Linked DNA regions of Sus scrofa. The protein of the gene in region 3 purifies or fractionates together with the protein of the main gene of each other region. This does not show direct contact. Links are inferred from orthologs where the notes say so. Each region holds a gene or a part of one and is shown on either strand. Other genes may lie near its edges.

Evidence for each region.
Region 1: the proteins of POLR2E (region 3) and uncharacterized protein LOC106505238 purify together in Homo sapiens (affinity purification with mass spectrometry; 4 studies listed by BioGRID and IntAct, with this or other methods). This does not show direct contact. The link is inferred for Sus scrofa from reciprocal best matches to the Homo sapiens genes POLR2E and POLR1D.
Region 2: the proteins of POLR2E (region 3) and CRCP purify together in Homo sapiens (affinity purification with mass spectrometry; 3 studies listed by BioGRID and IntAct, with this or other methods). This does not show direct contact. The link is inferred for Sus scrofa from reciprocal best matches to the Homo sapiens genes POLR2E and CRCP.
Region 4: the proteins of POLR2E (region 3) and POLR3D purify together in Homo sapiens (affinity purification with mass spectrometry; 6 studies listed by BioGRID and IntAct, counting the BioPlex papers as one, with this or other methods). This does not show direct contact. The link is inferred for Sus scrofa from reciprocal best matches to the Homo sapiens genes POLR2E and POLR3D.
Region 5: the proteins of POLR2E (region 3) and POLR3G purify together in Homo sapiens (affinity purification with mass spectrometry; 3 studies listed by BioGRID and IntAct, counting the BioPlex papers as one, with this or other methods). This does not show direct contact. The link is inferred for Sus scrofa from reciprocal best matches to the Homo sapiens genes POLR2E and POLR3G.
Region 6: the proteins of POLR2E (region 3) and POLR3C purify together in Homo sapiens (affinity purification with mass spectrometry; 4 studies listed by BioGRID and IntAct, counting the BioPlex papers as one, with this or other methods). This does not show direct contact. The link is inferred for Sus scrofa from reciprocal best matches to the Homo sapiens genes POLR2E and POLR3C.
Region 7: the proteins of POLR2E (region 3) and POLR3H purify together in Homo sapiens (affinity purification with mass spectrometry; 6 studies listed by BioGRID and IntAct, counting the BioPlex papers as one, with this or other methods). This does not show direct contact. The link is inferred for Sus scrofa from reciprocal best matches to the Homo sapiens genes POLR2E and POLR3H.

Annotation. Positions count from the first base shown.
Region 1 is NC_010453.5:5,042,963-5,047,159, reverse strand, and holds the start of uncharacterized protein LOC106505238, read right to left. Parts: upstream 2,801-4,197; 5' UTR 2,700-2,800; coding exon 2,674-2,699; intron 1,818-2,673; coding exon of another isoform or gene 1,442-1,817; exon of another isoform or gene 1,239-1,441; intron 1-1,238. Other genes in the region: POLR1D (DNA-directed RNA polymerases I and III subunit RPAC2), read right to left, coding at 1,442-1,817, 2,674-2,699.
Region 2 is NC_010445.4:16,619,206-16,623,153, forward strand, and holds the start of CRCP (DNA-directed RNA polymerase III subunit RPC9), read right to left. Parts: upstream 2,801-3,948; 5' UTR 2,587-2,800; coding exon 2,579-2,586; intron 1-2,578. UniProt on the Homo sapiens protein: DNA-dependent RNA polymerase catalyzes the transcription of DNA into RNA using the four ribonucleoside triphosphates as substrates.
Region 3 is NC_010444.4:77,329,498-77,333,554, forward strand, and holds the start of POLR2E (DNA-directed RNA polymerases I, II, and III subunit RPABC1), read left to right. Parts: upstream 1-1,257; 5' UTR 1,258-1,388; coding exon 1,389-1,445; intron 1,446-2,782; coding exon 2,783-2,957; intron 2,958-4,057. UniProt on the Homo sapiens protein: DNA-dependent RNA polymerase catalyzes the transcription of DNA into RNA using the four ribonucleoside triphosphates as substrates.
Region 4 is NC_010456.5:6,519,592-6,523,812, reverse strand, and holds the start of POLR3D (DNA-directed RNA polymerase III subunit RPC4), read right to left. Parts: upstream 2,801-4,221; 5' UTR 2,650-2,800; exon of another isoform or gene 2,640-2,649; intron 2,410-2,639; 5' UTR 2,405-2,409; coding exon 2,240-2,404; intron 315-2,239; coding exon 271-314; intron 1-270. UniProt on the Homo sapiens protein: DNA-dependent RNA polymerase catalyzes the transcription of DNA into RNA using the four ribonucleoside triphosphates as substrates.
Region 5 is NC_010444.4:97,679,256-97,682,755, forward strand, and holds part of POLR3G (DNA-directed RNA polymerase III subunit RPC7), read left to right. Parts: intron 1-3,076; coding exon 3,077-3,223; intron 3,224-3,500. UniProt on the Homo sapiens protein: DNA-dependent RNA polymerase catalyzes the transcription of DNA into RNA using the four ribonucleoside triphosphates as substrates.
Region 6 is NC_010446.5:99,491,338-99,495,317, forward strand, and holds the start of POLR3C (DNA-directed RNA polymerase III subunit RPC3), read right to left. Parts: upstream 2,801-3,980; 5' UTR 2,465-2,800; coding exon of another isoform or gene 2,363-2,464; 5' UTR 1,879-2,362; exon of another isoform or gene 1,835-1,878; intron 871-1,834; exon of another isoform or gene 866-870; 5' UTR 846-865; coding exon 699-845; intron 172-698; coding exon 1-171. Other genes in the region: E3 ubiquitin-protein ligase RNF115, read left to right, coding at 2,363-2,464. UniProt on the Homo sapiens protein: DNA-dependent RNA polymerase catalyzes the transcription of DNA into RNA using the four ribonucleoside triphosphates as substrates.
Region 7 is NC_010447.5:6,998,351-7,002,489, reverse strand, and holds the start of POLR3H (DNA-directed RNA polymerase III subunit RPC8), read right to left. Parts: upstream 2,801-4,139; 5' UTR 1,711-2,800; coding exon 1,600-1,710; intron 395-1,599; exon of another isoform or gene 1-394.

The DNA.
Region 1 (4,197 bases), on a different chromosome or scaffold from region 3:
CAGTTTCCCCCTCGAAGCTTTCTGTTCCAGTAATTTGGCTCCAAACAAGGTAGGAGGCATCTCTCCTCACCTTCTACATCCAGTTCCTGAGGTCTGCCATCCAGTACCAGTCTGCCCCTCAGACAGTAGCTTAGGGCCCTTTCCACGCCACTTCAACTCTTGGTTTTTCTGCTTCTCTCCTGACCCCTCTACAGTCCACTCCACCACACTGGCACCAGTTACTCACAAGACGTCTCACCCCCAAACTCCTTACCACCCCAAAGACCTTCCCTCCGAGGCTACTGCAGGCCTTTCTCCTCCTTGCCTGCCATGCTACAGATACGGAAATCTTGCAATACCATTAATTCCTCGAACTGCTAGTGCTCTGCTCCAGGACCTTTGCACATGCTCTTCCCTAGACCACCTTTCCTTTTTTGCAGAGCCAGCGCCTTCTCTCCTGTAATCTCTGGAAGGGCCTCTCTGATGTCCAGAGTTAAGGTAGGCCCCCTCTCAGGGTACTGGGGAGTGGAGTACGCAGGTTCAAAGGCTGACAGATACTTAGGGTGATTTAAGAGTCAAGGTGGGGAGGGCAGGTGGGAGACACAAGGTTCAGGAGGTAAACAGGGCAGCTCTTCAGGTGCCTCGCTAGTATTTTAGGCTTTCCAAAAAACCCTTTTCCTCTCTTAGAATCTTCCTCCTCAAATACTGCTTCACTGATGGAAGCCTCAGCTAGACGGAGGTACCAGCCTAAGGGCTGAAAATACTACCTGGTCACCCCAGTTTTCTCCTTCTCTAATACAGTAGTGTCCTGAAATTAAAGCAGTAAGCCAGCATCTATCCTAGAAATGCTGCCACAGAGATGGCACCTGATGCCACCGAAGGTCCTCCCGTGAAACCAGAATTCTCACAGTTCTTTCAAATTATTCCCCACCCTTGCCCCATCTACCGGTCGCAGCGAAGGACGCGATTCTCTCATGAATTTCTAAACAACATCGAGGAAGAGGCCAAGTCTTCCTTCACTCCCAGCTTCCTTTTCTAAACCATCCACGGTGTCTCTGGCGTCAGGCTCTGCTGCGGCTCTCGCTCCCCGGATCTCAGCTGTGCATGCACATTCCTTTTAATTCCCTGCATCCAAGTCCTCGTCTAGGCCCCTGATTTTCTCATGGTTTCCTCACTTTCAGTGTTGGTTCAATTAGGAAAACAAAACACCAACCCTAAAATAGTCAACCTCCAGGACAAAGGAACGGAAACCACTCAAATCGGTTTGAATGAAAGAGGGAATTTATTAGAAGAATACAGAGGGTTCTTGCAGGGACTCCAACAGCGGAAATGGTTAAGAGCTAGAGGCAGGCTCTTCTGCAGGACAGACCAGGTTGTCATCGCAAACTTTTACTTCTGGGCTTTGTCACAGCACCAATACGGTCTCCTAGAGGTCAGTCCTCCCTGGACAGGGCATAAGGGACTAGAAGGTGGACTCCTTTCTGCCGGCTTTATGATCCTTATATGCCTTTATGCTGGCCTCAAACTTGTCAAGCACGTGCTGGCAGACATTCATGAGCTCAGTCAGGCCTCTCTGAAAGGGCTCAACAGCTGGAAGGGCACCTCGAGTCTGTATGCGCAAATTAATTTTGCTCTCTGAAGGATGGGTTGTGGTGTAACCGCAAAACTCCACTTCCGGGTTCTTCATGATCATGTAGCGAAGAGAATTTCCTAGGGTATGGTCCTCCTCGTGCAAAACAAATGTCACACAGTGTCTATCTGTCCCAGCTGCCTGGACCATTTCCAGGGCTGTCTTCCTCTCGCCTTCAGCCATTGGGGTCTTCAATCCAGATATTTTTCTACACACATTTTTTGCAAAAATGAGATCATACTGAATATGCTTTCGTATCTAGCTTTTTTCATCTACGGTATCACAATGGTAACATGCTATTACTCCAATGCACTGCAGTTACAGAGAACTGTTAGCATGAACCTTTTATTTTCCTGCCTCCACATATTCTACCAATATTTAATTTATCGCCTCCAATTTCTCCCTACGCCATTTGGCCCTCCACATGGCCACGAGGGGAGTGTCGTTAAAAAAGCTTGCTAAATCTTATTTGGTAGAGTCACAAGAAAGGGCTATTATTAGAAACGGGTGGGCCCTGCCAGAGGATGGAAGGGGAGTTGAAAGGCGTGGGAAAACGCGACTATAAAAATAGAAACTAAAGCTCCTCAACGTGCAGGAGGTAAGGAAACTAGAAAGGAAAGTCTGAGAAGAGTCATCAAGCAGGAGGGAGAAAAAGCACTCAGCGCAGAGTAGCTTAAAGAGCGCTCTACACGGAGGAGGGACTTGGGCCCGACCAACACACCAATCCCATCGCTCCGGTAACAGGGGACGGTGCGTGGTTCGGAACGTTAGCTATGCTTCCTCTTGCTTTTCCAACGCGGGGGGTGGGCAGTTAACTCTGGTCTCGCAACTTGTCTTCCTTCCTCGATATCTAGAGCACTGAGCGCCTCCATTCAAACCATCCAGGTCTCCCGCCCCCTCTTCCCTCTCCCCACCCTGGCGCCCACCGCTCCCTCCTCCTCGCCTGTCCTCCCAGCCAGGCCCTCGCTGCTAGGCCGGGCCGCGGAGGCTGAGGCCCCGGCCGGCCGCCGGCTCCCAGGGCAGGGCGCGGCCCGCCTCTCCTGCCCCCACTCCCCGGCCGTTACCTCTCCAGCTCCTGGTCCTCTTCCATCGCGGGGGCGGCTTCCGGGATCCTCAGGTGGTGCCGGCCCGCCGAAGGCTCTGCCCCATACCGCGAAGCGTGCGGGCGCAGCAGGAAGAAAGGAAGGAAGGACCGACGGAAGGAGCGCGGACGGAAGGAGGGGGGAGGAGCCGCAGCGGCGCGGCAGGGCCCGGCCACTGGGCGGGGCGTGGAGGCTCCGCCCGGGCCCCGCCCACCCGCCCCGCCCCCGGCGCGAGGAGGGCGTGGCGAGGCCTGAGCCGCTCACCTGCGCTCCCAGAGCAAGTCCTCCCGGGAGGGCTAGCGGGGAGATGGGTGGGGTCCGGCTGCCGCCCCGCCCCAAGGCCGGCACCGGCCGGTGGGCGCCGGAGCTCAGCCCCCGGTGCCTTCCTCCAGGTGCGGGCGAAGGGGGCGGGGCCTTACCTGTGGCCCCCAAACTCCCCTTCTTAGAGCGAGGATCAGGCCTCCTTCTGACTTGCTGCTAGACCTGTGGGGGACACAGTTAGTCCCAGGCGGGTCCCCTGCCCCCCAAGGGACTCTCATGGGACGACGTACTTAAATTATAGTTAATCAGCACACTTTGATGAATTTCACAACTGAAGAGGATGGGTTTAAGACTGTATTTGTCTCATCCGGAATCTTGCAGCTGCACCCCTCAACGGGGTCAAAGGACACGCATTTTCTATTTTGGGGGGGAGGAGCGAGAGTTTGGAAGGAAACCATCTCCACCCGATCCCCACTCCCCCAATCCTTTCTTAGGATCTCCCTGGAGTACGCCCTGCCTCGTTTGGGACGTCCTTTTCCCCTTTACCCTTTTGGCCTCATAAACCTCCTCACCTGCGGAACCTCCCTCTCACCTTTGTTCCCAGGTGCCCCCGCCCCCTTTCACCGTCCGACTAGCTCTCCGCCCTCCTTCTCCCTTCGCGCCTCTCCGCTCTCCGCCCCCCTAGTGTTCCCGTTCGCTAATAATCCTTCTGCCTTCCACGCTCTCCTGCTCCCCTCGCCTCCTCACCCCGGCCAGCCCCGCTCCCTACCCCTCGACCCCCGCTGTCATCCAGCCCAACACGCCTACAGCTCTGCTTTCCTGCGCCACCTGTTCTCCTTACCCCACCCCCGATCCCCCTCGATGTTCGCCGCCGCCCCCAGCTGTTCCCCTCTCCTCGCAGCGTTCGGCGGTGAGCGCTGAGGCACTTCCCGAGCGCGTCTTCTGCTGGGGAATCAGGCGAGCGGCAGGGACAGCCGAGGAGTGGGGAGGGCGGGCGGCGAGGGGCGGAGCGGGCTCACTCTAACCCGGAGTGTCAGCCCCGGCCCGGCCCGCCCCCCGAGCTCCCGGATAGGCGGAGCCGCCCTCTGGCCCGCCCCCCTCCCGCCCTGTGCTGCCGCCGATTGGCCCCGGTGCGTGTCGGGCTGCGCGGCTCGGCCCTGGCGTCCGCCCGGGGGAAGGCAGCAGGGGCGGTTGAGAAGTGAAGTCTTGGCTGGAGTTTGCTTCTTGCCAGGAAATCCGCAGCGG
Region 2 (3,948 bases), on a different chromosome or scaffold from region 3:
TGTGACCTACACCACAGATCATGGCAACGCCGGATCCCCAACCCCCTGAGCAAGGCCAGGGATGGAACCTGCATCCTCGTAGATACTAGTCAGATTCATTTCTGCTGTCCCACAATGGGAAGTCCCTCAATGAACAATTTAAACTGCAGCACTGTCTTAGGAGCTAGCAAACAAATTACCTTCTTTTCTGTCCTGTTACTGAATTGCTTAAGGACCTCTTAGCTAACTTCTCTAAATCTCAGTATTTCCAGCTATAAAATGAAGGAAATTCTGATATTATCTCAAACAGATTATAGAGAAGAGTCCATTCTCCCTATGTATATTAAGTTCAAGAGTAAAAGAATGGGAGTTCCCTCTGTGGCACAGGGTGTTATTAAGGACCCAGCATTGCAACTGCTGTGGCTTGCTGCTGTGGTGCAGGTTCGATTCCTGGTACTGGAACCTCCATGTGCCACAGGTGAGGCCAAAAAAATTAAAATAAAAGAATGAACAGAAGGAGTTCCCACTGTGCTACAGTGGGTTAAGTATTCAACTGCAGTAGCTTGGGTTTCCACAGAGGTGAAGGTTCAATCTCTGGCCAAGAGCAGCGGGTTAAAGGATCCAGCAGCATTGGAGTTCCCATCGTGGCTCAGTGGTTAACGAATCCGACTAGGAACCATGAGGTTGTGGGTTCGATCCCTGGCCTTGCTTAGTGGGTTAAGGATCCAGCATTGCCGTGAGCTGTGGTGTAGGTTGCAGATGAGGCTCAGATCCTGTGTTGCTGTGGCTGTGGTGTAGGCCAGCGGCTACAGCTCCGATTAGACCCCTAGCCTGGGAACCTCCACATGCCGTGGGAAGCAGCCCTAGAAAAGACAAAAAAGTAATAAAATAAATTAAATAAAATAAAGGATTCAGTGTTGCTGCAGCTGTGGCACAGGTCACAGCTATGGCTTGGGTTCAATTCCTGGGGCAGGAACTTACAAATGACATGAAGCCATAAAAATTTTTCTGTGTTTTTGTCTTTTCTAGGGCTGCACCCACAGCATGTGGAGGTTCCCAGGCTAGGGGTCTAATCAGAGATGTAGCCACCAGCCTAGGCCAGAGTCCCAGCAACTCAGGATCGGAGCCAAGTCTGCCACCTACACCACAGTTCATGGCAACACCGGATCCCTAACCCACTGAGTTAGGCCAGGGATTGAACCCATAACCTCAAGGTTCCTAGTCGGATTCATTAACCACTGAGCCACAACATCAACTTCCTCGGCCATAAAAAAAAAAAAAAAAAAAAAATCAATGAATAGAAAGTGGAGTTCCCATGGTGGCTCAGCATAAACAAACCTAAGATAGAGGATGGCAAAATCAATTTAAGGAGTCAACATTCTATTTTAATAGAAGAGACTACTAGAGTTACTGTATACAACACTGTCTCAGGAAGCTTTCACTTCAGATACATATACGTATTGTGGTTTTTTGGGTTTTTTTGGGTTTTTTTTGTCTTTTTGGCATTTCTTGGGCTGCTCTCACTGCACATGGAGGTTCCCAGGCTAGAGGTTGAATCGGAGCTGTAGCCACCGGCCTATGCCAGAGCCACAGCAATGAGGGATCTGAGCCGCGTCTGCAACGTACACCACAGCTCACGGCAATGCCGGATACTTAACCCACTGAGCAAGGCCAGGGATCGAACCCGCAATCTTATGGTTCCTAGTCGGATTCTTTAACGAGCGCCACGACGGGAACTCCAACTGCGTGTGTGTGTGTGTGTTTAAGTCTGCAAAACAGTACATATAAACGTGAAACATGAAGTAAAAGAACATAAAGGAAAATGTCAGGATTAAACAATCAGAGTTCCTGTCCTAGCTCAGCTGCAATGAACACGAGAAGTATCCATGAGGATGTGGGTTTGATCCCTGGTCTCTAGCCTGATAACTTCCATAAGCCACACCTGTGGCCCTAAAGAGCAAACAAAACATAAACATGTTGCCAAAGAGAACGCAACATAGGTATAAAAATCCACATACAAAGTAGCTGCAAAAACTTCCCTCTGCACGCAGTACAAGGAGCAAACATGGAAAAGCCGATGTGGAGTTACAATTGTTAGAATGGCTTCTACTCCTAGCCCCCCACCCCAACCCCACACGGCTACCTGCTTCTTAACTACTTTGCAGAGCACCTCCTCTGAATCCGGGCTCCCCAGAAGCCCACTGCTCCTAAGCAAAACTCTACTCCAGCATTTCCCCACCTCTCCTCCAGGTACTTCCAGGCCGGACCCAGGGTTTAATAAGTCCCTGCTCTCATACCCAGCTCCCCACCGCGACCTGGCGACGCTGTTGAGTGCGTGAGGGAGGGAACAGACACCTGGCACCCCTAAAGGCAGCCGGGCCAAGTGGCCCTCGCCCCACGTCCTGAGCACGCGGTGGGAGAGGGGGCGAAGGTTCAGAAGGCCGGAGGGAGAGTCCCTTCCTAGCCTCCTGGCCCGCCGCCCTCCCCGCCCGCCCGGACGAGGAATCGCCCCCGGCCCACATCTCCCGGCTCCCAGGAATTAGCCGTCCCCAGCTCTGAGCGTCGCCCTTGAGCCGACGACGCGCCCCGGGCGGCTTACACTTCCATGTCGTCCCCGCCTCGTCGCCTTCGGCCGGACACAGACCCTCACCGCCCATCCGCTGCTCTCGCCGCCCGAGCAAAGCGCCCGGAAACCGACTCCGCGGACCGCGGTGCACGCCGGGATCGCCGCGCTGCATGCCGGGATCCTGGAGGACCCCCGTGGGGCCGGGGGCGTTGCTGGCTCGTCTTCCCGACCCGTCTCTGCGCTCTTGGTCCGACCTCAGGCTGTCAAACGTTTGCAGACGGATTTAGCTCACGTTTTCGTGGTCTAGGGTATATCCAAGTATTAATCCAAAGATGTAATCGGATTCGTAGGCATTTGCAGCGTTAAAATCCCACCCCTTGGATAGTAGCGATGGCAAGGGGCGAGGTGGCCTTGGGCTGCTGGACATGCTCTCTTTCAGGATCTGGACGCCGAGTAGGTGGTGCTTCTGAAAATTCGGTGGGCTGTAGCTTATGTGCACATTTCTGTATGTGTGTTATAATGGAATAAAACGTTCTAAAAGGTGAAAAAAAATCTCAGACTCCCTTCTCCCTGTTCCCATTCTTCACTATTTGTCAGAAAATTATGAAGAGACTTCTTGACAGTCTCTGATCTGGCCTTTCTAAGAATTTGCCCAAATGGAATCATCAGATGCTTGACGAAAGATCAACGTGTAATGATAATTTTGCTGGGAGATAGCCTACATACCCAACAATGGAAAATTGATAAATCGTGTTTCAGCCATACAGTATGCAGTACGATATATGTGGCCCAAGTAATCTTGTAGCATATTTGATATGCTGGGGAAATGCTCAAGACAGATTTTTTTTTTAAGATGGAAAATGATGTGTTGTGACTCTAATAATCTAAAGAAAAATAATGCATAGGGGAAAAAAGACCTCAGGGTAAGGGTGATACAGCCACCTAATCTATGAAATTTTGTGTCTTAAAAAAAAAAAAAAAAAAAAAGAGTTCCTGTTGTGGCTCAGCAGTTAACAAACCCGACTAGCATCTATGAGGACTCAGGCTCTATCCCTGGCCTCACTCAGTGGGTTAAGGATCCAGTGTTGCCATGAGCTGTGGTGTAGGTCACAGACACGGCTCTGGCGTAGGCAGGATGTTACAGCTCCTATTCGACCCCCTAGCCTGGGAACCTCAAATGCTGCAGACACAGCCCTAAAAAGACAAAAAGGAAAAAAAAAAGTGGAAGGCTGATGTCTATTTTCTTCTGAATTTTTAGTATGTTTGAAGTATTTGGAAGGAAATATGCCAAAAATTAAAAATGGCTGGTGTCTTTAGGTGATGAATCAATTGCTAATTTTTCCACTTTTTTATAATTATATCAGTTATCATTTACTAAACACTGTCTCCTTGATAAGCGTTTT
Region 3 (4,057 bases):
GAATCATTGAATAAATGTATTACCGAGTGAGAAGTTACTGATGGCCTCCACTGACACAGGGGCACTGGGCTGGGCAAACCTCCTGTATGAACCGGGGTGGTGTATGTGTGTGTGTGGGCAGATGTGGAGGTTGTAAAAACATGCACAATCTTGGGGGCTGTGGGGTATCCAGGGGCTGGGGTGGGCCTCAGGGGACTAGGAAAACAGAGATGAGTGCATTTCATAAGCAGTGGGAGCTATGCCAAGCTCCTCCCAAGCTAACAATCCCTTTAGGTCCTCAGCTAATCCTCTAAGACGGGGACACTTTATTATTTCCACTGTACAAAGTGGATAACTGAGGATCTAGGGCATTAAGTTGGACATGGCCCTGAGTCAACTGAGAAAACTCCCTGCAGTTGATCACACAAACACCTACGAACCATCTCTTAGTAAGTACGAACATCCTGGGAACCGAGCGTACCCAAGACCCTGTCAAGGCCTCAGTCTCCCCTTGCTTCTGCCTACCTGAATTTTTTTTTTTTTTTTTGCTGCACCCCCTCAGCATATGAAAGTTCCCAGGCCAGGGACTGAATCCAAGCCGCAAGAGTGATCTGTGCTACAGCTGTGGCAACGCTGGATCCTTAACCCACTGGGCCTGGGATCGAACCCGCGCCTCCGCAGCGAGCGACCCCAGTCACTGCAGGGACAACGACGGATCCTTAGTTCGCTGCCCCACAGCTGGAACTCCTGCCTCGCTGGATTTTTTTTTTCCCCTTAATTTTTTTTTATTACTCAAATGAATTTATCACATCTGTAGTTGTATAATGATCATAACAATCTGATTTCACAGGATTTCCATCCCACAGCCCAATTACATCCCCCCACCCCCTAAACTGTCTCCTCTGGAGACCATAAGTTTTTCAATGTCTGTGAGTCAGCATCTGTTCTGCAAAGAAGTTCAGTCTGTCCTTTTTTCAGATTCCACATGTCAGTGAAAGCATTTGATGTTGGTGTCTCATTGTATGGCTGACTTCACTTAGCATGATAGTTTCTACGTCCATCCATGTTGCTAAGAATCTGCCTCGCTGGATTCTAAACGTCCTCCCTAGGCGGGCGTTGAGCAGAAACTACGCCTCCAGAGAGGCCTTGCATTCAAAACCACGCGAGATCTACCGAGGAGCGGGTGAGTGGTGTTTGCCCTCTTTTCGCGCAGCCAACCGCCGCTTTAGTAAGGCTCGGGCTGCCCTTGGCTCTGCCCCTCCCAAAGGTCGCTGCATTCAGGCTTTAGCTGACTACAGCCCTGTAAGGGTTGGGCGAGGTGGAGGGGGCCTGACAGCGGCGCGGCGCAGGCGCAGTGGGCACGGGTCTTGCCGAGCGCAGGCGCTGTAAGTTCGAGGGGGGCGGCAGCCATGGACGACGAGGAGGAGACATACCGGCTCTGGAAGATCCGTAAGACCATCATGCAGGTGAGACGCGCGGGGGCTGCCCTTAGTACTAAGCGAACGCTGTCCGGCGCGCGGACGGCCAGCGCGAGGCCCGAAGATGGGAACGAGCTTTTCTATGTCTGGCCGCGCGGCTCAGGGGAAGGTTCTGGCCCAGGTGGGGCCCGTATTGGGCCGGGGACAGAGGGGCCCCGCCGACCACTGCTGAGTGGCGAGTCCGAGAGACGCCGGGGAGAGGGTCAGGGTTTCGCTGGAGCTGGAGGGAGGGAATTGGCCTCGCGTGTTCCTCTTTCCGGAAAGTTATGGCACTGTTTTGAGGGCCTGATACAGTATTCCAGGATTGTGGATATGGAAGGATCCCTGGTTAGCTGGTCTCAATGCTGTCTGGTTGCCCTGACAGCGCGCCCTGGCCACCAACTTTGAGCTACTCGGGCTGATAGGCTCCAAGTCATGCCAGCTCCCTAGCTAAGCGTTCTCTGTGTGCCACGTGCTTTAGGCTACTCCACGGGAGGGGGCGATTGTGATCCCACGGAGGCTTCGGGCCTTGACTAAGACCACCCACCCTCGCCACGGCGGGGATCCTGCCTGGACTAAGCTGGGGCAGTGGCACCCATATTCTCCACCTCCTTGCAGTGCTACCCAAAGACAGGGTAGGAACAGCGTTGCTTCAGGCTGACCGTGTCGCGGGCCCTGGGTGAGAAGAGTGAGCGCTCAAGAGGGAGAGTCCGGGAGTTCCTGTTGTGGCTCAGTGGTTAACAAATCCAACTAGGAACCATGAGGTTGCGGGTTCGATCCCTGGCCTTGCTCAGTGGGTTAAGGATCCGGCGTTGCAGTGAGCTGTGGTGTAGGTCACAGACTTGGCTGGAATCCTGCGTTGCTGTGGCTCTGGTGTAGGCTGGTGGCTACAGCTCGGTTTAGACTCCTAGCCTGGGAACCTCCATATGCCGTGGGAGCGGCCCAAGAAATGGCAAAAAGGGAGGAAAAAAAAAAAAAGAGGGAGAGTCCAGCTGTGGGGTACTTGGCTGAAGAAAGGGGATTCCGGCAGAGTGGGTGGCTTTCTCTTTGTCTGGGTGGTCATCCGGTCTGTCCACTCAAAGAATCCCAGTTTCTGAGTCAGGACCTAGATCTGCTGGCCCCCAGGCCTTGGCCTGGTTTTCCAATAGCCTTCTGCCCCAGGCAGCCCAGCAGCACCTCTCCCAGACAGCTGTCCTTTTCTGCCCCAGACCCAAGGGCCTGGCCTTGGAATCAACAGCCCTCCTCACATCCCAGCCCTGCTCCCATCTTCCCTGCAGTGGCCTTGAGCACCCTGAGCCTTTGCTGTTCTCTCTGCACCTTGGTCACCTGATTCTTTTTCTCTGCAGCTTTGCCACGACCGTGGCTACCTGGTGACCCAGGACGAGCTGGACCAGACGCTGGAGGAGTTCAAGGCCCAGTTTGGGGACAAGCCCAGTGAAGGGCGGCCGCGTCGCACAGACCTCACGGTGCTGGTGGCCCATAATGACGACCCCACCGACCAGATGTTCGTCTTCTTCCCAGGTGAGGGCCTGCTCAGGGCAGCAGCAGCCACCTGCCCTGACACGCAGTCTGTACCCCTCATCCTTCTGCCTCTCTGCTGTATGTAGTGCCTCCACTGAGGCAGCCTGGCTCTCAACCCCAAAGGTAGGGGACCATGCTGGGTCACAAGCACCTTGGGGGCCCACCCTGGTGTGCCTCCAGGCAAGGGAGAGTGCAGAAAATGCCTGCTGAGCAGACCCAGAGGGCACTTTTAAGATTTACTTTATTGAATTATGTTTTACAATGTTATGTTCTTTTCTGGTGTATCGTAAAGCGATTCAGTTACATGCACATAATTATTCTTTTTCAAATTCTTTTCCGTTATGGTTTATTATAGGATATTGAATATAGTTTTCTGTGCTGTACAGTAGGACCTTGTTGTATATCCACCGTATGCATATAAGAGTTTGCATCTGAGAGTTCTCTTTGTGGCTCAGTGGTTAATGAACCCGACTAGGATCCATGAAAGAAAAAAAAAGAGTTTGTGCTTGCTAATCCCAAAATCCCTCAGTCCCCTCCCCGTTGGCAACCACAAATCTGTTTTCTATGTGTCTTTCTGTTTCACAGCTCATTTGTGTTATGTCTTATCTTCCACATATAAGTGATACCATGTAGTATTTGTGTTACTTCATTTAGGTTACTTAATATGATAATCTCTGGGTCCATCCATGTTACTGCAAATGACATTATTTCTTTTTGCTTTTTTAGGGCCCCGCCCGCGGTTTATGGAGAGTCCCAGGCTAGGGGTTGAGTGAGAGCTATGCCACAGCCACAGCAGTGCAGGGTCTGAGCTGAATCTTGTGATCTACACCACAGCTCACGGCAATGCCAGATCCTTAACCTACTGAACAAGGCTAGGGATCAAACCTGTGTCCTCAAGGATACTAGTCAGGTTCGTTAACCTCTGAGCCTCGACGGGAACTCCGATATATGTGTTCTTATTGCCATTTTATTAACTGTTTTGGGCTTGGGTTTTTTGTCTTTTTTCTTACCTTCTCTTGTGGCTTGATAACTCTTTTTTTTTTTTTTTTTTTTTTGTCTTTTTGCCATTTTTTTGGGCTGTTCCCACGGCATATGGAGGT
Region 4 (4,221 bases), on a different chromosome or scaffold from region 3:
CAGTATTTTTTTAAAGCTTGCACATCAGAATCCCCTGGGAGCCTACTGACAGACCACTGTAAAAATCAACTACAATAAAAAATTTTTAAAAAATCCCCTGGGAGCCAGGGTTGAAAATAACTACTGAAAAGAACTAAATCTATCAACTTAAATTTCTCTTTTTTTCTTTCTTTTTATAAACTTAAATTTCTGAACCACATACCTACTTCCTTCCCCCAAAGCCCAAGTATGTAAATAAGGAACAAGTATTCAGAAGGTCTGGCTACTTACTCTTCCTTGATCTTCCGACTGATGATATTTGGGGTGAAGGTTTTCTGAAAGTAAAATACCGGAGTTACTGATTTGGTTAAGTTCTGATCCCAAAGCACAGAGGAAAATAAAAACTTCCAAAGGGCATTTTCTATGGATAAAGACCAGCAAGGTTTTATTCTACACACGCCACACCGTTGTCAAAGATTTACAGAAATGGGCATATGCTCAATTTTTTTTTTCTTTTTAGAGCCACACCCTCAGCATATGGAAATTCCCAGCAAATTCAGGCTAGGGGTCGAATTGGAGCTGCAGCTGTTGGCCTAAGCCATAGCCGCAGCGACACTGGATCCGAGCCGCATCTGTGTCATATACACTACCGCTCACAGCAATGCCTGATTCTTTTTTTTTTTTGTCTTTTTGGGTTGCTCTTGCAGCATATGGAGGTTCCCAGGCTAGGGGTCTAATTGGAGCTGTAGCCACCCGCCCACGCCAGAGCCTCAGCAACGCAGGATCTGAGCCGTGTCTGCAACCTACACCCGAGCTCACGGCAACGCTGGATCCTTAACCCACTGAGCAAGGGCAGGGATCGAACCCGCAACCTCATGGTTCCTAGTCGGATTCTTTAACCACTGTGCCATGATGGGAACTCCAGCAATGCCTGATTCTTAACCTACTGAGCGGAGCCAGAGATGGAACTGGCATCCTCACGGATACTAGTAGGGTTTATAGCCCACTGAGCCACAAAGGGAACTCCTGTACATGTGCTTGAAAAGGAAGAAAGTCACATCATAGTGGCAGTGGAATTACATATAGAAGAAACAGGCACCAAAAAACATTTAAACAGCAGCTTCAGCTTCTGCCCTCTGAAAGGAGAACTTCGGGACTTCTAACAATAAGGAAATTTCCCTAATCTCACTCCTTGTCTTCAAACTGCTACAGAGACCACGTAGTATCACAGGGAAAGAGCTCTAGCAACAAGGCTCCAGTAGGGAAGACAAATTAATTAGCACTCATAAGCAAATGACTGGGTCAGAAGGCCACTAGAATTTCCCAAAGTAAACTCATGCCTTCAAAAACTGGCTGCTTGGAGTTCTTATTGTGGCTCAGCAGTAATGAACCAGAGTCCAGCAGCTACAGCTCCGATTCAACCCCTAGCCTGGAAACTTCCATATGCCGAGGGTGTGCCCCCCCCACAAAAAAAAGACAAAAACTGTCTGCTTTATGTTCTGTCATCCTCCCCATCCCCCCTTTAAGGGCTATCCTTTACATCTACAGGCAATTAAACATAATACAAGGGGACAGAGCCTCTAACACCATGCCTAGGACTCATAATACTTTGGATCAGATGTCTGCACACTGGGAACCACAGCAAATTCAGAGCTCTTTAAAACTGCAGGCAAACTCTATGCCTGGGTGGCTTTCGCAGCTTTTTGGGTTTTTTTTTTATCTTCTTTTTAGGGCCACACGGCCGCACCCCCAGCATATGGAGGTTCCCAGGCTTGGGGTCAAATGTGAGCTGTAGCCACTGGCCTCCACCACAGCCATGCCAGATCTGAACCAATACTGTGACCTACACCACTGCTCACGGGCAACGCGGGATCCTTAACCCACTGAGCAAGGCCAGGGATGGAACCTGCATCTTCATGGATACTAGTCAGATTAGTTTCCGCTGAGCCGGGATGGGTACTCCTTTCAGCACTTTCTTAAGGATGTTCAAAACACACATAAAAAGGAAATGAACACTGCTCAAAGTGCTTTTGATCTAATTAGGATTCTCTGCTCTTCAGCCTTTTCTGAGAGCCATGACAACATTTTGTATCCAGTAAGTAGCTTGACTGGAAGGTAGGGGCAGGTTCCCCGATATTGCAGGCAAGATTCGTGAGGCCTAACGCTATGCCTGCCATACTGAAGGCCCTACAGGTACTTCAGTCAAAGGTGTCTGCAGTTTAGGGCATTTGGATTCATTTAGAATGGTGCCCTCGGGTACCTTCTTGACTCCTCCGAGGGTGAGGTCCCTGGAGCGGATGGAGGGAAGGCGGCCTGGGGTGAGGGAAGGCGCCGGCCTCCTCCCGATAAGCCCCCGGGCACCGGGCAGGAGGGGTCGGGACCCTCCTGGAGTGCTGGGATCGCCGGCGGCGTTTCCTTCCGACATGTTGCCTGGGGCAGAGAGAGGAAAGGAGTAAAGAAGTCACTGAAGGAGGAGGACATGCGGACCCTGGCCGGAACCCCACCCACGTGGCCTCCTGCCCCCCAGTCAGCGCGGCCCTCCCGCAGCGTCCCAGTTCCTCCTCCTCCCACGTGGCGAGACTCCCCGGACCACCCCCGCTAGAGCCCTTGGCTCGCTCTCTCCTTTGGTCCCCCCGGCCAGGCACCAGGCACGGACGCACCTCAACGCACCTGGGCTGCAGCTCCGCACCTCGCGCGTCCAGACTTCACATCCAATGCGACCCGCAGCCCACCCTAGGCCTCCGCGCCGGGCGGAAGTCTGCGTGGCAGGGCCCGGGCGCCGCCATCTTGCCGTGGGGCGGAAGTGAGGTCGGGGGGTGGGGCTGGGCCACACTATTTATCCCGCGGCTCCTCGCTCCCCTCCGCCTTCTCTTCCCGGTTCTTCCCGGAGTCGGGAAAAGCTGGGTTGAGAGGGCGAAAAAGGAAGAGGGGACTGGTTTAGGTTACGCCACGTTGCAGCGCTTGGGGGTCGTGCCCCGGAGCGTGAAGTGGAGCCGTTCAGCTCTGGGTCTGGGGGTCGGGCGGCGAACATGATGCAATGTGGGGATTCGCTGCTGTGGAGCATCCGGGTCGAGGCTCACGATGGGGCGTGGGACGCGGTGTAGAAAGCAAGACCCCCGACTCAGAATCGGGGAGTTCTGGGCCAGGCCTCGCTCTTGTTCAGGGATCCCTTACCGGGCACAGCGCTGGAGCAACTAATGCCTAACGGCACCTGCCCTGGCTTCGTGACTTTGGGCCGTTGTGTGCATTCTTGGTCCAATCCTGGAACCAGAAAAACGAAGTTTGCTCTACTGGGAGGGGCAATTTTAAATAACTTTTCTCGTGACTCCAACATTTGTAATTTAACCTAGAAAAAAAGATTCTCTACTGTCATTCCTCCCACCCCCAAATCATGTGAAAACCGTGTAACAACATTACAGAAAGCTTGAGAGAAGGAAGACTTTTGTTAGAATCACACATGGAGTAACTACTAAAACTTTTCTGCTATATTCCAATCCCCTTCAGAGATTTCTTATTGTACCACAATTTTGAATCCTCCCATTTCAAATAACCTTTCTTCGTTGCTGCATCAAACGACTGCGCGTAATTCTCATGAATTATCATGATTTGTCTGTTTTCCGGTTTGATCACTTAAATTATATCTTTTCTAGTGTTGTAAATAACAACGTAGTGAACACCTGGTGCATTTAAAATTTTTTATTCTTTTGGATTATATTCCTAGGGTGAATTTCCAAATTTGTGATACCTAGCCACAAGATGATGTACTTTTTTTTTTTTTTTTTTTTCTTTTTAGGGCCTCAGTGGTGGTATATGGAGGTTCCCAGGCTAGGGGTCTAATCGGAGCTGTTGCCGCCAGACCAGAGCCCCAGCAACACCAGATCTGAGCCGCATCTGCGACCTACACCACAGCTCATGGCAAGAGGGATCCTTGACCCACTGAGCGAGGCCAGGGATCAAACCTGCGTCCTCATGAATGCTAGTCAGGTTCATGAACCGCTGAGCGGCTACAGGAACTCCAAGATGCACTTTTTCTTAAGTAAAAATTTTTATTTTGAGATAATAGATACATATGCAGTTGTAAGAAATAATGCGAAGAGCCAAATTCTCTACTCAGTTTCCCCAATAGTAGGATATTGTAAGCCAGAATATCAACATTGTCAATCAAAACACCTTCTATCACCATAAGGATCTCTCTAGGGCCCTTTTATTTATTTTTAAAAAATTTTTAATTTATTTTTGTTT
Region 5 (3,500 bases), about 20 Mb from region 3:
ATATATTATGTCCTTAAGATTTCATAATACAAAGAGAAATGGGTATTATTATTCCTTACTTACCAATGAGGAAGTCAAGGCTTTAAAATTTTTACTTGCATAGCCAAGTTGGCATAGCTGCATGGTAACAGAAACTCATTAAATTTTATTTTTGACCAGTACTTGAGCTAGAGATGGCATGTCTGAAAATCAAGCCAGAAGGATTATTGAAGGAATAGCAATAACTCTCAGGTTTAACTGTGGTGGAATGATGGATGGGTGTGCCATTTTATATTGATTGAACACAGATTCTGATTATTCTTAAAACTTCCTGGAAAGAAGTTGCTAAGATGACATGTGCTATAAGGAAGATTGATCTGGACCATTGGATGTGGTTTCTCAGCAGAACAAATTGTGTCTCCTTATTCCTACATTAAAACACCTTATTTTCAGTATACACATTGTTAAAACTGGAATTTTTAAGTCTAGAAATCCCCAGGAGTTAGTGGCTAAAATAGAGCAAAGTTAGCTTCCAGATGACTATTATTGTTTATTTCTTCAGCAAAAGTAGTTGTAAGTTTGTTTGTTTGTTTGTTTGTTTGTTTCTTTCCTTCTTTTTATCTGCTTTTTAAAGGGTGGTACTTGTGGCATATGGAGGTTCCCAGCCTAGGGGTTAAATCAGAGCTGCAGCCACCAGCCTATGCCATAGCCACAGCAATGCCAGATCCTTAACCCACTGAGCAAGGCCAGGGATCGAACCCACATCTTCATGGTTCCTAGCTGGGTTTCTTAACCACTGAGCCACAAAGGGAACTCCCAGTTGTAAGTTTTCTTTAATAAGGCTTCTGTGAGGAGAGGGAATGACATATAGTCAGATCTCATGATTAATGTGTGAATAATCAAACAGCAGTAAACTAATATTTGAGCTTTTTATTCTGCATGATACAAATGTAGGTGGCTCTCTCTAGGGTGGTCTATAGTATTTAAACCAGAAGAACTATTTCCTATTCATAAATTAACTGTTTTTGAAGTATTTTAATATTGTATTGCTCACATTATTAGTGAAACACATGTAAAGTAGTAGCAGTAAGTAGTTACATCTATGGCGACTACTAAGTAGATGAATCAAAACTAATAGCTTGGAGTTCCATGGTTGCTCAGCAGGATCCGGCACTGCCACTGCTGTAGCTCAGGTTCTATCCGCAGCCCAGGAACTTCCACATGCCTCTAGTGGAGCCGAAAATAAAAATAAAAAACCAATAGCTTAACACAAAAAGAATGACACAATGAGACAATGTGTGTGCCTCTGCAGTCTTTTTTCTAAATTTCATAAATATGATAATTGTTAACTGATTTAGGTATTTTATTGGTTTGATTTGGAGGTATGTGGTAGTAACAAAGTTGAGGTTATTTAAAGATATTTGCGGAGATCCCGTCATGGCTCAGTGGAAATGAATCTGACCAGCATCCATGAGGACGCAGGTTCAATCCCTGGCCTTGCTCAGTGGGTTAAGGATCTGGCATTGGCATTAGCTGTGATGTAGGTGACAGACGCAGCTTGGATCCTGCATTGTTATGGCTGTGGCATAGGCTGACAGTTACAGCTCCCATTTGACCCCTAGCCAAGGAACCTCCATATACTGTGGGTGCAGCCCTAAAAAGGCAAAAAGAAAAAAGATATTTGAGGTGGCAGTAGTGGAAATAAAAATCTCCTAGTCCCTATGTAGCACTGAATGAATTCTCTATCTAAAAAATATTATACGTAACTGGTTTAAAAATCCTATTGCTAATTATGAAGTAATAGCTAATAGCATGATTTTTTAGACATAGCATATTCCTTGTACAGAGTTAAGTAAATATAGTATCATAGTTGCCTTTGAACAACACAAACTTGCAGGTTGTAGGCCTTTTTACTATAGTTTGATTAAAAAAGAAAAACGTTTTGTGTATTAATTAATGTTAACATAGCATCATTATGTGTGTATGTGTGTGTGTTTATAGACACTTCAAAAAAATCGATAAATACCATTTTGTTTACTTCCAAAGGATGGCCAGTTGGGAAAAATTGCACACAGTATATTGTAGTAATAACTTATATAAAATAATATGTGTCAGTATGAAGATAAATCATCTTATGTCTATTACTTCGGTCTCAGTTTTTCTATCTTAGTAGGGAGGGTGACAGGAAAGTGGAGTTTGAATTTTTATTAAAAATTGAGTCTTTCTGATACAGTCTTTCATTGTCTTTGATTTCCTTAAATTCAAATTTGAATGTACTTAAAGGAATTTTTAAAAAATAAATATTTAAGAATCAATAATAGAATAGTTAAATTGTAGTCACTGCAAATGCAAAATATGTTTTCTTTTTTCTTTTTACGGATGCACCCATGGCAGAAGTTCCTGGGCTAGGGGTCAAATCAGAGCTGCAGCTACAGGCCTATGCCACAGCCATGGCAACATCAGATCCTAGCCGCATCTGTGACCTAGCCCACAGCTTGTGGCAACGCCAGATCCTTAACCCACTGGGTAAGGCCAGGGATTTGACCTGCATCTTTAGGACACTATGTCAGGTTCTTAACCTGCTGAGCTGCGATGGCAACTCTTGTTTTCTCTTTATATCTAATCTACAGAGCAAATATCTTGTAGAGTATTTATAGATTTATAAAATAGTGTTCTGATTACTGATTAAGAATAGTCATATTTTAGTTAAATGTTATCATTACATTCTTTTTTTTCTCTTTATGTCAGGAGGAAAACAAAATAACACTTTGAAAGTTCTTCTGTATAAACCAAATCAACTCTATTTTAGAAGGAGTTAGCATAGAAATCATAAAAATAAAGCATTGTACATCTAGAGCCAAAATCCCAGCATTACCTAAGACCCACTTTTGAAGTATCAAAATCATAGAAAGTACCAGGGTAATGACAGGCCAGTATCTCCTTTCTTGAATTAACTCACAGAGTCCTAAGTGGTGGTCTGGAGGTGTTGGGAAGGGAAGATTAGATTAAGGTGATAGGTAACTCTTTACCTGAGGTTGAGCAGGGAAATCAGAGTCTAGTGGTTTCCATTTAAATTAATTAAATGCATTTATGCCAGGAATTGGAAAAGAGAGGTGATGGTGAAAAATCAGATGAGGAAAATGAAGAAAAGGAAGGAAGCAAAGAGAAAAGTAAAGAAGGTGATGATGATGATGACGATGATGCTGCAGAAGAGGAGGAATATGATGAAGAAGAGCAAGAAGAGGTAAGGGTCTATTTGGGGAGGGTAACAAAGTTACTAGGCTTAAAGATGATCAAATACAGAATCAGATATATGGTAAATACTTAAACAAAAACCAAGTTGATGGGAATCAGGGGTACATTATCATCACTGGCATCAATCCTTGGTATCAAGAGAATTATAGCATTGGAATTGTAATGATACCAATTGAGATGTAGGAGGCATAACTTGATGGCAGCTTTGTAAGTGGAAGTCCACCAGTTAAGGAAATTGATCAGATTAGTGTAACTAAGATTTATCT
Region 6 (3,980 bases), on a different chromosome or scaffold from region 3:
AATCAGCTCTCCAGTGTCACTGTACAGCGTTTTGGCAGTATAGATGTACCGGGGATACCTAAGCATTCGCAACACCCGGCTGCACTGGGCTTCATACTCCACCACACCACGTTTGTGCACTTGATATATCACCAGGTTATGCTGGATGAGGACACAAAGGGCTTTTTTAACCTAGAGAGGACACAAAAGAAAGAGAAAAAAAAATTGGAAAATGCAGTTCATTATTGTTGGCAATTTCTGTCCAACAATTTACTAAACTTCAGGAGATGGCTGGAACCTCCGTGCATCTTCTCTCTCTCCATTGGAATAGCTGTTAAGAATCGCATTGTTCATCTTATGAAGAAATCAGGAGGATTCCTAGCTCATATTTCCTCTGATCTTTATCTTACAAAGTACAACTTACTTGCTCTCTGTTACTGCCATTCCTTAAAGGTAGTGCTGAAATTAATAGACTCATCATGCATGAATGAAGTATGGCAAATGAAAAGCACAGGTTTGCCTAAGAAGCCACAGTGAGCCAGATCGCTTTGAGAAGCAGAACCTTAGGCACTATGTCTCATCCTCTCTCCCTCCCAATGACACTGTTCTGATCTCAGTGTAGCTCTCTTTTGTATTTTGTGGGGTGGGGAGTAGTAATATTCAAGGGTAGGTAAAGGAAACTAATGAAATAAAAGCAAATTAGTGTGATCCAAACATACCTGATCCAGCGATGTTCTTGTGTCATGGGCAATAACTCTTAGTGGCTGGCTGCCAGTTCTGATTAGGTGGACTCCAATTTTTTCTACAATCTCTCCAAAATGCTCTTGCAGCAATAAAGAACACAGTTTAATTTCTGCTTGAGTCATTGTACTGAGAAGTCTCAGACCTGAGAAAAGAAAAGAAAAGAAAAGAAAAAATAGCACGATGGGAAGTTTTTCTTTTATGTTGGAGTAGAGCTGCTAAGTGTAAATTCATGTACTTTTTGGAGGGCAACTTGACAGTAGATACGTCAAAAGCCTTAAAATCTTGCATATCTTTGACCTAATACTTTTGCTTTGGCTATTTTGTTTCAAGCGAATAATAATGATGTCACTTTAGAATACTGACATTCCAGAAACAATATAATATCTAACAATACGGGATTATTTCAATAAATTATGGTAGACTCATACAATGGCATACTACGTCTATGTTTACAATGAAGTGTAACATGTATTAGTGTACAAAATTGTTCATTAAGTGAAAGAAGCAGGTTACAAAGCAAAATGTAGAAGAAACTTAAATTATTGTGAAAAAAAAACCCCCTTTTTTCTTATAGGTATAAGAAAAAAAAGACTGCAAGACAATATATCAAACTTATCCTTATGGGATGTACGAGTCCAATTTTCTTTAAATATCGTGTGTAGATGATTTTATTTGGAGGAATTAAGGACACTATTCACAGCCTATTGGGAGTGAACAGGAAGTGTCATTCCCAATCCGTAAGAAATGACAACTTTGCAAAATAAATTAGGAGCGTCTCAACAGAGTGTTTCAAACAACAGATGAAGCATGTTGTTGGCAGGGCAGTATTCTGAAATTTCTACTCCTTGACAAAGTAGACACAAAAAGAAACAAACATAGTTGACTATAAAATCACTTGTTGTCATAAGTGCTACCACACACTGGTCTGTTCATTTATTTCTCCCAATCCCTCAGAAGCCAAGACTGTGTCTTTCAGTCTCAGTATTCCCACTCACAGGTCTTTGGGGAAGTATCCCCAGACCATCTGCCATCCTTGATAAGGATTTCCAAGGAACCTGGCTCCTGATTCTACACTTCCTTCCCCCAGGTTCCGGTTCCGGACTGGGTCCCTGGGTCTAGAGAAACGGCCTCATTCAGACCGCATTTTCCACTAACCTCTGGGTCAATGCAATCTAAAGCCGCCGCCGACCTCGTGCGGCTCCAGCCAGCGGCTCGAGCAGAAGGCACCCCAAGGCCCTTTTGCGCAGGAGCCCGGCCAACGAGGAGGGTCAGCAAAGAGGAAAAACGTGTGCCGCTCTACCCCAGCGTTTCGGTGGTTTCCGGGGACGCTCTTGCTTCCTTCTCGCTGGGAGGTTGGAGGACCGGCGAGGGGTGTTAGAGGAGCCGGCGGGAGGGCAGCGCCGGACGGACTCTCCTTCCTGTAGCTCTTTGGTGCCGGGAGGCGGGCCGTGGGGTCGCCGTCCTCGCCGACGCCTTGTGGGCCGGGCGGGCTCACGTGACCCGCGCGGACTCTGGAGCGGCCAGCTGCGCTGAAGAAGCGGCGGCGGCGGAGGCAGAGGCGTCTCTTGTAGCCGGGAGGTAGCGGCCTGGGGAGCGACGGGCCGGCTGCCCTCTCGGACGGCGGCGCCGGGAGAGAAAAATGGCGGAGGCCTCGGCGGCCGGGGCCGGCGCAGGCGCCGCTGTTGCCGCGCACCGGTTTTTCTGCCACTTTTGCAAGGGCGAGGTCAGCCCCAAACTACCGGTAAGAGTGTGTGTCCTCTGCACGCCAGCGTCCGCGTGGGTTCCTCGTCCGGATGTCCCAGAACGGCGCTTAGGCTTCCCGCACAGCCCCGACTCCCCTGACATGGGTATCCCAGGTACCTGCTGCCCACTGTCTCCTAAACCCCGGGCGTCCGGGCTGTGTGGCTCAGTAACTCCCGCCCAGCCTTTTTTCCATTCGGATGCTCCACCTGTCCCTCACTCTTTCCCCTTTTTACCTGCCCTCTATTATTTTTTTTTTCCTGGTTTTCCTTAGCAAGTTTTCTGCTGACCCCCTCCTCTCCGTTTTCTTACATTCTTCTTCACCTTGTCTCTTTCCACAATGACCTCCCCCCCCCTTCCGCTGTTGCTTCTCATCTTTATTTCCTTTTCCACTTTTCATCAGATCTCCCCTTCCACTATCCTCATTGAAGCAATATAGCGGATTGCTGAGGATTGTCTTTATTCATTGTCTCTAGGGAAGGAGGGAAGAAAGCGGGGCGGGGGGGGGAGGGAGGGTTGGAAGGTAACTGGGCAGAGAGGGGGATTTTACTCTTCAGGGGTTTCCAGCGTTCTTGTGAAAGTGAAAACAGCGGTGTACTAATGACTTGCGGACTGCGATCCCAATCACTGTCGAAGGAAATGGCTTTAGGAAGAAGGCAGAACATATTCTTTCAACTCTCTTATTTTGGTTGTCATGCTGCCAGTATCTTTAGCACCACCTGCCTTACCCGCCCCTCCTTCCCCTCCCCCATTCTCTCTCTTCACTTAGTGAGAAGATCTAGGACAGAATGTTGGGGACTGCATCCTCTGACGTAAAATTGGTTTTCGTCAGTTTCTGCCAGACTGTGTTAGCCCCTAGAGAGGTAGTGCTGTTGGCTGTGGAAAAAAAGTGCTTCTGCAGCATGCTTGCCAGCTATTGCACCCCAAGCCCAGAGGCTGTTTTAGGTTGAGTTACTACTGCAGGGAGATCCACCAGGGTGAATGTTAATCCTACCTTTGGCCAACCATCTTTAGAACTAGTTATGGTTGTTCTTTTCCTTAGAAGTATCTTTGTTCAGCCTTAAGAGGGTGTCTGTGTAACTACTTATCTCAGTGTTTATAGTGTCTCAGATACAATCTGTGAGAAAGCCTATTAAAGTGTGTCTCTGTGTCTTAGTTCTTAGAAACACCAGTGGAGTCCAGTGAAAAGTGCCTAAACAGTATTTTAGCCTTTTCACTTGAGTTGTGCTTTTTCAGGCTTTTGCTGTATTTTCTTTCTTCTCTATTTGCCCCACCCCTAACTTCATGGTCGTAGTTTCATCTACACGCTCTTTTAGTTTTGCTTGGATGATTTGGCTGTGTGTCTGTGTCTGTGTGCTTTTTGCTATACTTCAGTGCTGAGAAGAGCAGGTGCCGTGGCTTGTTTGTTTGTTTGTTTGTTTTTCCAGTGGACATTGGAGGCTCCAGAACTCTTCCTTACCACAGAGAGGGAGTCTGGAATTCAGCCAGTGCATGTGTGATGAGTGACATGTTGAATG
Region 7 (4,139 bases), on a different chromosome or scaffold from region 3:
GCAGGTGAAATTCTGTCATTCCATGGGTTCGCGAACACCTGTTTTCATAGCATTTAGCTCAATTTGTCTAAAGACACTCAACTGTGGGAATCGCTTGCTCACATCTGCTTTTCCCACGAGACTACAGAGCAAAAGCTTGTCTTTTATTCGTTCAATAAACACTTACGTAAATATGGGGGACAGAGGGGAAGAAGACAAGAGTTCATGCTCTCATGGAGAGGGAAAGAGAAAAACAGAAATCAACTAAACAGGAATTCCCTACTACCTCAGGGGCTAAGGACCTGGAATTGTCACTACTGTGGCACAGGTTCAATCCCTGGCCTGCCAACTTCAGCACGCCGAGGGCCGGGCCAGCAAAAAAAAAAATGAGAGGGAGTTACTGCTGCGGCTCAGTGCTGACGAACCCGACTAGTAACCATGAGGACTTGGGTTTGATCCCTGGCCTCACTCAGAGGGTTAAGGATCCGGTGTTGCTGTGAGCTGTGGTGTAGGTCCCAGACATGGCTCGGATCCCTTGTTGCTGTGGCTGTGTAGGCTGGCAGCTGCAGCTCTGATTCAACCCCTAGCCTGGGAACTTCCATATGCCATGGGTGTGGCCCTAAAATGCAAAAAAAGAAAAGAAAAGGCAGTGGGAAGGCCTCTGACGACTTGGCACTAAGGCATGCAGGCCTGGCACATAAAAGGTGCACAAGCGTTCTTTTGCAGAAATAAACGTGACAGCCAACTTTAAACTACCATCCACCTTCCCAGAAACAATGGATGGTTGGACAGCAATTATTATTTCCACTTTACATATGGAAACTGAAGCCCAAATGGGGTAAATGACCTGCCCCAAACTGCAAAGTAAGGAGTTCCCATCGTGGCGCAGCGGAAATGAATCCAACTAGGAACCATGAGGTTGCAGGTGTGATCCCTGGCCTTGCTCAGCAGGTTAAGAATACACCGTTGCAGTTGTGGTGTAGGTTGCAGACGGCGGCTGGGATCTGGTTGCTGTGGTTGTGGCGTAGATCCGGCAGCTGTAGCTGATTCAACGCCTAGGCTGGGAACCTCCATATGCCGCGAATGAGGCCCTAAAAAAGCAAAAAAAAAAAAAGCAAAATAATTCGGAAGGGTCCCACTTGCAGCGGCCTTCCCCCTTCCCCCCCCCCCTTTTTGGTTATTTTGCACCCGCGGCATATGGAAGTTCCCAGGCTAGGGGTCAAATCGGAGCCTACACCACAGCCACAGCAACGTCAGATTCAAGCCGCGTCTCCGACCTACACCACAGCTCACAGCAACGCTGGATCCTTAACCCACTGCGGCCAGGGATCGAACTTGTGTCCTCAAGGATACTAGTCAGGTTCGTTTCCGCTAAGCCATGACGGCAACTCCACGACGGCCTTTTTTTCAAGCCCAGTTTTTCTTTTGATTCCCTCCAACATTCTTGTGGGGTAAGGATTACCCCTATCCCATGCACAGGTGAAGAAACCGAGCTCTGAGACGTTAGGCTACTTGCCCAAGGCCGAGGCTTGGCACCGACAGGCCGAAAGCGGGCAAGTAAGCAGCGCTGGGCCCTCTCCGGCCAAGGCCGGCCAGCGACCCCATGGACCCAGTCAGTACCTTGTTGGCCAATTTCTTGTTCAGCTCCTCGGCAATAGAGTCGTTGAGCTTCCTCTCAAACTGCCACGGGGGTATCCGCACGGTGTCAACCATCTCCACCAGGACAAACATCCCGCCTGCGCGGGGGACTCTGGGAACGCGAGTGTCAGTCACGCACAGACACCTGGGGCGGCGGGGATGCCGGGGCCCGCTCTGTCGGTCCCAGTCGCTGACGGGGCGGCGGGGATGCCGGAGCCCGCTCTGTCGGTCCCAGTCCCGGAGCCCCCCAGGTCGGCAACGGAGCTGGAAGCCGGGGCCTAGGGTATCTCCGTAAGGGGCGTGCTCCTCTACTGCAAGCAGAGGAAGCTGAGGCTCCACGGGGAGGACCTCCTGGTCGCGCGGGAGGGGCGCGCAGCCCAGTCAAGCCACACACACCACGCACTACGCACCACGTGCCTCCGCCACGCACCGCGGACCCACGCCAGCAGCACTACTACGGACGATAGTCCAAATCCGGTAGCTTCCGGGAGACCGACCAATAAGAAGCTTCGGTCCGCCCCGTCGCGAGGCGGGGCTACGTACCGGTCTGCTCGGGACGGGGCCACCCCTTCCGCCTGCGTGGAATCGTCAATCCCAGGCAACGCTTTCAGGTTGCTAGGCGACCTCTGTGCCACCGGGCCATCTCTGCTTGACCTGTGCAGTACTCTCCTGGCTCAGGCCTACCTCGACGCTGCAGCCGGCCCTTCCAAATGCAAACACAGTATGCCTAGACCCTTCAATACTCTGGAATCGGGGACACTGGGCTGGAAAGGAGCAGGCGAGACCTTTATAGGATGATAGAAATGTTCTGTATCTTCTTTTTGCCGGTGGTTACACAGGTGTAGACAGTTGTCAAAACTCGTCGACCTCAAGACTTAAGATCTTTGCATTTACTTGTAATTCAGATTACATCTCAATTGAAAAGGGATAATAAATTGGGACAAAAAAAAAACAACCAAAAACCAAAAAACCCTTACTGATTTACTTTTGAATTAGCAATAAGGTCCAAAATCTTTATCATAGCTCACAAGGCCCTGCGTGGTCTTGTCATTGTCCACTCCTCCAGCCCTGGTTTGTTCTGTCTCACCACATTCCAGTCTCACTCATCTTCATGTGATAGCTAACATGGGCTTGGACTAAAAGAATTTCATACCTTGGAGTTCCCGTTGTGGCGCAGTGGTTAACGAATCCGACTAGGAACCATGAGATTGCGGGTTCGATCCTTGGCCTTGCTCAGTGGGTTTAGGATCTGGCGTTGCCGTGAGCTGTGGTGTAGGTTGCAGATGCGGCTCGGATCCAGCGTTGCTGTGGCTGTGGTGTAGGATGGCGGCTACAGCTCCAATTAGACCCCTAGCCTGGGAACCTCCATATGCTGCGAGAGCGGCCCAAGAAATGGCAAAAAGACAAAAAAAAAAAAAAAAGAATTCCATACCTTGTCTAAGGCCATGGGCTGCTAAGTGGTAGAAGTGGGCCCCATACAAATCTGTACAGTACACAGCCTTCGTGGAAATACACTGCGGGGGGGGGGTGTTCCTTGTCTGTTTGGTTTTGGCCATGCCTGTGGCATGTGAAAGTTCCCTGGGTCAGAGATGGAACCCAAGCCACAGCAGCTATCCCAGCCACTGCAGTGACAATGCCAGATCCTTAACCCACTGCCCTACAAGTGAACTCTACACTGCAGTGTCTTGTTTTGTCATTTCTTTTCTTTCTTTTTTTTTTTTTTTTTTGTCTTTTTGCTATTTCTTGGGCCGCGCCCGCGGCATATGGAGGTTCCCAGGCTAGGGGTTGAATCGGAGCTGTAGCCACCGGCCTACACCAGAGCCACAGCAACGCGGGATCCGAGCCACGTCTTCGACCTACACCACAGCTCACGGCAACGCCAGACCCTTAACCCACTGAGCAAGGGCAGGGACCGAACCCGCAACCTCATGGTTCCTAGTCGGATTCGTTAACCACTGCACCACGACGGGAACTCCTGTTTTGTCATTTCTTACTGCAGTATAGTTTTTGTTTGTTTGTTTGCTTTTTACGGCCACAACCCTGGCATATAGAAGTACCCATTCTAGGCATCTAATTGGAGCTACAGTTGCCGGCCTATGCCACAACCACAACAATGCAGAATCTGAGCCGTGTCTGCAGCCTACACCACAGCTCACGGCAACGCCAGATCCTTAACCACTGAGTGAGGTCAGGGATCGAACCGGCAACCTCATGGTTACCAGTTAGATTTGTTTCCGCTGTGCCACAACAGGAACTCCCATTGCAGTGTAGTTGATTTTCCATATTGTGTTAATTTCTGCTGCACAGCAAAGTGATTCAGTTATAAACACACATTCTTTTTAAAATATACTTTTCCTATGGTTTATCATAGGATATTGAATATAGCTCCCTGTTGTTTATCCATTCTATGTATAATAGCTTACATTTGCTAACCCCAACCTCCTGCTCCGTCTCTTTCCCAGCCCCCTTCCCCTTGGCGACCTCAAGTCTGTTCTCTGTGTCTGTGAGCCTCTTTCTGTTTT